2 linked regions of the Daphnia pulex genome follow. The protein of the gene in region 2 purifies or fractionates together with the protein of the main gene of each other region. This does not show direct contact. Links are inferred from orthologs where the notes say so. Each region holds a gene or a part of one and is shown on either strand. Other genes may lie near its edges. The genes, in order: fasciculation and elongation protein zeta-2-like and kinesin heavy chain-like.

Evidence for each region.
Region 1: the proteins of kinesin heavy chain-like (region 2) and fasciculation and elongation protein zeta-2-like purify together in Drosophila melanogaster (affinity purification with western blotting; 3 studies listed by BioGRID). This does not show direct contact. The link is inferred for Daphnia pulex from reciprocal best matches to the Drosophila melanogaster genes Khc and Unc-76.

The regions. Positions count from the first base shown.
Region 1 is NC_060027.1:4,971,221-4,973,839, forward strand, and holds the end of fasciculation and elongation protein zeta-2-like, read right to left. Parts: coding exon 2,424-2,619; intron 2,101-2,423; coding exon 2,025-2,100; intron 1,930-2,024; coding exon 1,864-1,929; intron 1,777-1,863; coding exon 1,760-1,776; 3' UTR 644-1,759; downstream 1-643. Other genes in the region: acyl-CoA:lysophosphatidylglycerol acyltransferase 1-like, read left to right, coding at 1-40.
Region 2 is NC_060020.1:7,296,037-7,300,590, reverse strand, and holds the start of kinesin heavy chain-like, read right to left. Parts: upstream 2,921-4,554; 5' UTR 2,310-2,920; coding exon 2,163-2,309; intron 2,092-2,162; coding exon 2,004-2,091; intron 1,930-2,003; coding exon 1,702-1,929; intron 1,639-1,701; coding exon 1,495-1,638; intron 1,434-1,494; coding exon 1,309-1,433; intron 1,243-1,308; coding exon 989-1,242; intron 928-988; coding exon 753-927; intron 694-752; coding exon 535-693; intron 476-534; coding exon 302-475; intron 245-301; coding exon 107-244; intron 45-106; coding exon 1-44. Other genes in the region: group XIIA secretory phospholipase A2-like, read right to left, coding at 3,269-3,372, 3,436-3,700, 3,776-3,843, 3,921-4,149. UniProt on the Drosophila melanogaster protein: Kinesin is a microtubule-associated force-producing protein that may play a role in organelle transport. Milt and Miro form an essential protein complex that links Khc to mitochondria for light chain-independent, anterograde transport of mitochondria.

The sequences.
Region 1 (2,619 bases), on a different chromosome or scaffold from region 2:
TTGGAACCTGCTGACATTGCTCTCCTCTTCGATTTTCTGAAATATTGAGGTGATATGGTTTCACCCACGTGTTCGAGTCACATAGCTTTTTTTTCTCTCTCATTTTTGTTTTTTGTTGAAATTTTTTTTTCCTTTCGTTCTCCTCAATTCGTGTCGTCTCGTGTTGCACGCCATTGTTCGTGCTGGCCGTTCTGTCAAGTTTCCCATCCGCACGGAGTAGAAATCCTCCTTCATCCAACTCCTCCCGTCTCTCTCTCTTACCCACATTTATCCATCCATCCATCCCTACCGTTTCCGACCTTAAAAAACAAAAAAACAAGCGAAATTCCTGCCCGTCTCTTTCCTTAGCACCCGTGCAAAGTCAGGGACTTCATTATCATCGTGTGCTGTCTGTGCGCCTGTGGATTCGTTCTGTACGTAGTAGCAAATGGTGTCTCACACTGTTTTGACATGTTTATGGCCGTTTTTTTATGATATAATCTTTGAGTTGATTATATGATACCTACACTCACCTCGACTTATCTCGAGTTTAGTCTGTTTTCGCAACCCCCACAGAGAAACCTTCAAAAGTATTAGTCAATTTTTCATGTAGATTCGACACTTATTACCATGAAAAATCAATCGATAAAAAATAATCAGAGAATGGGAGCATTGTAATGTATTGCGCTTTTTTTTTAACGTCCATAAGTGGCACACGACACACGTCACGAAAAAAATTTTGTATACAAGGAAGGAAGAAAAGAACAAAAAAAAAAAAAAAAAAAATACTGAACGCAAAAAAGCCACAACGGAACAGAGAAGTGTCACATCAACCTCCGGGATGTCAAAAGCAGCAGCCAGTCTCGTTATTTATATTGTCTTTCAACCTGTTTTCTTCTTTTCTTATTAGTCATTGTCACACGCAGCGGGGAGGAGAAAGAACTGGTTGAGATCTAGTTACACTTTTTATTCTTCTTCTTTTTCTTCGTCGTTTCTTGTTTTCTCGCGGGGAAAAAAAAAATAAATTGAAAGGATCGCGCTGCCGACAAGGTAGGATGACGTCAATTAATTGGGTGGCGGGGGAACTAGGATCAAATGTTTTGACTAGACGAGCTTCTTCTTCTTCTTACTCTGCTCGGATATTCAATCTCGTGTTTTTCTTCTTTCAAGCGGGAGAGTCCCCCGGCTTTGATTTTGACTCGGTTCCAACTTTCTGTGTGTTGTCAGACAAGGGTGGGTGGGAGAGAGAGAGAGAGAAAAGATCTAGCAAGGTATATAAATAATCACCAAATAAATTGAGGAAGCCTAAGCGAGGTTAAAAAAAGAAAAACAACGGCGGCTGTAGAGTCAAAACTATAAACACATTAGGCGAAAAAGTTCGAACAGTCGTAAGGGAGCAAATGAAGAATAACAAAAATGGGGGGAAAAAGGCTTATTCGTACAAAAGGAAGGAGATTCAGATTTGTTCCGGTTTCGACTACAAATTCCAACACAAAAAAAGAAAAGAAAAAAGTTCTTGTTTCTTTTTTTTGTTTTGTTTTCAACGAACGCAAACGAGGCCACAAAAGCCGATATCCTTCTGTCAAAAGGAATTCTTTTTTTGTTTGTTCTGAAATATTATTTAATGATGGTGCGCGTAGGACGAACGTTAAAGCATCCGCCAGCTGAAAAGAGATTGCGGTTAAGATTCTTGGATGTCAATTATTTTGACGAATGAAGAAGACGAAGAACTGGAAATGAGAGAAACGACCACGTCGAGCGCGGCGCCACGACCTAGCAACTACGTCGGACACAACACTAGAAATTCCAAATAAGTAATTTAATGTTAAAAAATGGGAAAGGAATCTGGGCCGGGGAAAAATGAAATTCCTGGTAAAATGTTACCTTTCAAAATATAATCCGTCAGTAATGTCGGTACGGTTGGGCTATCCTCAACAATGGCTCGGAGAACTGCATTAAAAGTCATCCCAAGTGGATAAGAAAAAAAGAATTTTCTCTTTAGAAATAATAACAAGTTTTTTTGGGGGGTAAGTGTCACGACTTACTTTTGATGAGGACCTGGACGGTCGGATTGCTCGGAGGTCCGTTGCCAGGGTGATAGGGAATGACTGTCGTGATGTACTGCGCGCGACACAAACACAACAGACAAAAGAGAAAAAAAAAACAATAAAAGGATCAGCAGGACGAATTGTTTTCAAATGAAATGCCATTGGCTCCATGTCTATGAAAGAAGCCCCGTAAAAAGCCATTTCCCGTCAGTCGGGATGATTAACGAGATTAAGATACGACCTTTTGACATTTTTTTTTTCCTTTTGCTCCATCCCGTATTGTCGTAAATCAAGAGGACACTCTTACGGAGAGAGAGAGAGAGTCCTCTTAACTCGACGCTCGTAAAAGGAAAAATATACAAGAATGAGTCAGAGAACGAGGAGGGATGGGCTAACCTTGCAGTCGGGCTGGCTGGTGAACCCGCTGCCCATTTTATTGCCGTTCTTGCCCGTCGGTGTCGTTGCATTGGTGGCCGGCTTCTTCTGGTTGGCCGTCATTTGGCGGCGCTTGTTCTGCACGTTCAACAGTAAAGAGATGAAAGTGTTTTTTAACTCTTTCTCGTACTCGAGCTCGTCTCGAAGGGCCAGCTCG
Region 2 (4,554 bases):
AAGTCGTTGAGTTTTCGACGCTGATGGGCAGATGTGTCTTTCACCTTTAAAAAGCAATATGAGCATGACGTAAATAAAAATCAAATATTACGAAAATGTGGCGCACCTGTGCTAGTTCAGACATAGTGCTGTTAAGCTGGCTTTGACGTTGAGATAACTCTTCAGTGACTGTTTCATTGTCGCGGTTCTTAGCTTCCACTTCCTGAGACTTCTGATCGTAATTAACTGCCAATTCTTCTAAAGCCTTGACAGATAGAAAAGTTTAGTATTGGGGAACGTGGAGGGGATGAAAGTGACATACTTGCAAAACTTCTTTGACTTCTTCTTTTGCTGATTCGTTTTCAGCCTGGATGCGGTTCATTTCTTGTTGTAGCGATTCATAATCTCTGCGGGTAGCACCAATAAGTTCCTCCTGTTCCATCATTTGTTCCTTAAGCTTTTCCACTAACTGACTTTGCTGATTTATTTCTTCATCCTATAGGGATTTTTAAAAATTTAGTTCGGTGTACTGAAAAACTTGGACAACAAACCAACCTTATCATCCAACTGTTGGTACAGTCTTTCACGCTCAGAATCCCAATCAGCTCGAACGGCAGGGGCAGCAAGAACAGGTGGCAAAACGGGAGCAACCGGTGCCACAGGAGTCAGGTCAACACTGATGGTAGATACGTCCATAGCATCTCGAAGATTAACCTAAATAAAACCAAAGATCAGGATTGTTGATCTAGTAATCTCAAAATGAATTTTCATACTTGTTCTTCTTGCCCAACAGATTCGCCAGATCTCCAACGAGTGAGTTCTGCTTCGGCAATCTCCAATTTTGTTTTATAGCGTTGAGCCTTCTCGCGTTCTTTTTCGAAGCGGCGTTTCCATTCTTCGGCAGTAAGTTCTTCATTTACTGTGACGGCGTTTTTAATAGTTTTTGCTCTACAAATACAAAACAAATGGCATAATTTAGAGAGAAGCATAAACATTGTTTCATCAATACCTTCGGCCAAAGTCCAGAGTAGTCTTAGTTTCCGATTCATTGAATGACGCTGGAGAACAACAAGTAACAATTGTCGTTCTGGCATTACCACCCAATGATTCTTGAAGAATACGTGTCAATTTTGAATCACGGTAAGGTATGTGAGATTTATTTCCATCGGCCAATGCAGATATAACATTTCCCAATGCCGACAAGGATTTGTTAATATTTTTTGCCTCATCCAAGACGGTTCCCTCAGCACCTGTTTTGCTCACCTGGAAAATTAAGATTATACGCGATAAGTTCACGAAGGACACCAAAAGTTGATTTGTTTTACTTACTTTCTCACTTCCAGCTAAATCGACAAGGTAAAGTTTACCCGATAGTTTCTTTTGATTTTCTAAGTTTTCTTGTTTTACGTTAATTAGGAAAACTGAGTGGCTCCTAGAGGAGTGCTCATTCATGTCTGTAATTGAAAATAAACAATGAAAATTGATGCACAATTTACGTCTCTAAATAATTCTTACTTGTTACAGCGATGTGTCGATTAGCTTTTCCTTCTTCAATCACTTCAAATACCTCTTCAGGACTTGTAACAAATCTTTCTGTTACACCCTTTACATAAGGGATGCGATTCTTATCTTCATGCACACTCAAATTGACTTTAGATACTGCAATAAAAACAGTTTGGTATTATTCTGCTAACAACACAATAATTTCTTTAGTAGTTTTACCATCAAGAAGATCCCTAATTTTGTCCATGTAGATTTCAAAATAAGAGACTTTAATGTGGAACTCCAAGTTTTCTTCCATAGCATAGATGTGATTGAAGATATCGTTGACAATTCGTGGGATGATACCCTGTAGATGTGGATCTCCCATGACTCCTTCCATTGTGTGGGTTTTACCCGAGGATGTTTGCCCGTATGCAAATATAGTTCCATTATAGCCCATTAGGACATCTAATCAGGAAAAAAGGTGTGTTTTAGATCAAGGATATTTCTCAAATGAGTGTTAATAGAAGAAATAGAAATACCTTTTACAATACTCTTTGCTGCTTCATTGTACACTTTCTCTTGACTGGCATTGGGTTTGAATACTTTATCAAACATGTAAACTTTTCCCTACATTAAAAGTAGAACTCGTGGTTATTTGATTTAATTAAATTACATTATCGGTGTTGCAGGATTCTTACCCCTAAATTTATACATTGGTCGTCAGTGCCGGGTGGAAACTTGACGACGAATTTCGATCCAGCTCTCTCTTCGGCATCGTTTAAAGGTCGAAAACGACACACTACACGAATACTATCTTCTCCCGGCGCTTCTCTTTCGGCTGACATGATTACACAGCTCTCAATAACTTAAAATACTTGAAAGTTTTAGTAGGAACACTTTTTTTTTCACGTCAGTTCCGACTCAATGCCAATTTGCCCTTAAGGAAGAAAGAGAGAGGGAGGGGCACGTGAACCCTCTTCTAGCCAACACACAAGGCGAGTATGAGGACCAATGGCCAACAAACAAATCAATCGAATCTGTTAGTCTGTTACTTAGATAAGAAATGTTTGTTCTGTTTCTGACAGTATTTGCGTAAAACAAATTGACGAGATATTTCAATTTGTTTGTTGGTTGGAAGAGCGAGCACTGCACGTATTTGATCGAAAGCTCGAACACCTAAAAAGTAAAACACAACGACCAAACGGGTGTGAGCAAGCAGCTGGAGGCCGATGCACTTGATATTTTCAAGCCGAGCGGACTTCCGGCAATTAAGCTGCCATCCGTAAGATGTGGATGCGTTAACGACTCGTAACCAAATTGCAGCTATGGTCGTGCACCAGAGAAAGAGGAAATACAAGAGGAAAACTAAATGACACACACCGTAAGGGCTACTACCTTCTTCTGTTCTGTATCGCACATCCCATGCAGCTCGCTCAGCTATGGTGCGATAGGGTTTAGACTAACCCACTGCTGCATATATTGGTTTCTTATTGATCGAGTCGTGTGATATGCGCTGTATGTGCTCTTAAAAACATTGCATCATTTTCACTAGATTCTTCTTCAACCAATCAATTTCAAATTAAACCGGTTTAATAATAGAAGTCGTAATTATATTCTATGATGAAAAAACAAGGAAGTATTTTAGACATATTAGGGGCTGACTATAATAATAAGTAGGCAGCATAACGCGTTATTTTTCAATTTGTTGTCTGTATTCTAGGCAGTAAATATGCAAAATACGAAATCATGAAAATAAATTATGAAAGACATCATTAAAATTACGAAATCATTTGTGTTTGTGTTTTCAACCGGGGACGCAGACGCAAGCTTGTGATTGAGCCTTTAAGTAAGCACTAAATCCCCAACCATGGACGGATTGATAAAGAACTTCAACAGATGCTTCGCACTCTAAGAAAAAATATTTTATACTGTTAGGAGACGAAATAAATATTTGGTAAAGTAATAACTCACTTTTCTCCCGATCATCGATTAAAGGCTGCTCGCAGTTCTCATTCCAGAATTTATTAGTAAGTACGATGCGAAATGGGCAAATCAAGTACCGCTGCCAGCTTTTAAATGAACAAATTTTTATCAAACAGTTTTTAAATTCTTTATCGCATTGGCCTCGGTGCACGTCAGCTTCCATTGACGAAATGATGTGGCATTTATCGTAACACATATCGTGAGTGTTGCAGCATAGCTCTTGGTCTTTATATGGCAAACATTCAACGTCTATCTACATTATATAAAGAAAAAAATAGCGGAAAATAGATAAAAGAAAATTCTGGGCTGATTTTATTTGTATCGTTACTTTGAGTCCATCAGCTCCACAGCCATTACTAGTCGGGAAATGACTTTGGTTTGGCGCTGCTATAAATCCTGCAAGAATGTAGGTATACATTTAATTATTGATTTATTAGTAAACTGCAAGGGGGTCAGAATATTGTATACTTAACCAGGTGGGCAATCAAACTTCAATTCAGAACTGGAAGGCTGTGACAAAAGATTGATTGAGGATTCCCAGATCTTTGGGTGATAAGCGCAAAAATCTACAAGAGTACTGAAAGTAGCACCAATAATTCCAGTAGACATCATTTTGAAGATAATCCATCTAAGTATTCCGGTCCACCAACCATCCAGGAAAAATAAAGTTACTAGTATGATGGCTACATGTGAATTCTTCATCGTACATCGTCCGATATGGGACGATAACTCTGAGAGAATTCCAGACAATTTGCAGGTTACACAACTACAGTCCGGTATTTTATTTCACTAAGAAGTAAACGGTGCACTCCGCCCGCCCCTTCGAACCTTCCCTATATATTGATAGAAGGGATTTGCAATTGCAACACGCGATACATATATTGATATCTCGATACGATACCTTTTATATTACGTTGAATTACGAAATAAATTTGTTTTTTAAGTTATAATCGCGGCCATTGGTCATAAATATAAACAAATTGGATACTACGAAAATATAGCGTAGTTTGAATGCCCACGTAATTTCAAATCGAAATCGGATTTGATTTTCCTTATTGAATCGATAAACTTTCTATATCGATTAGTGGGGTTTGTTTTGACGTAAGA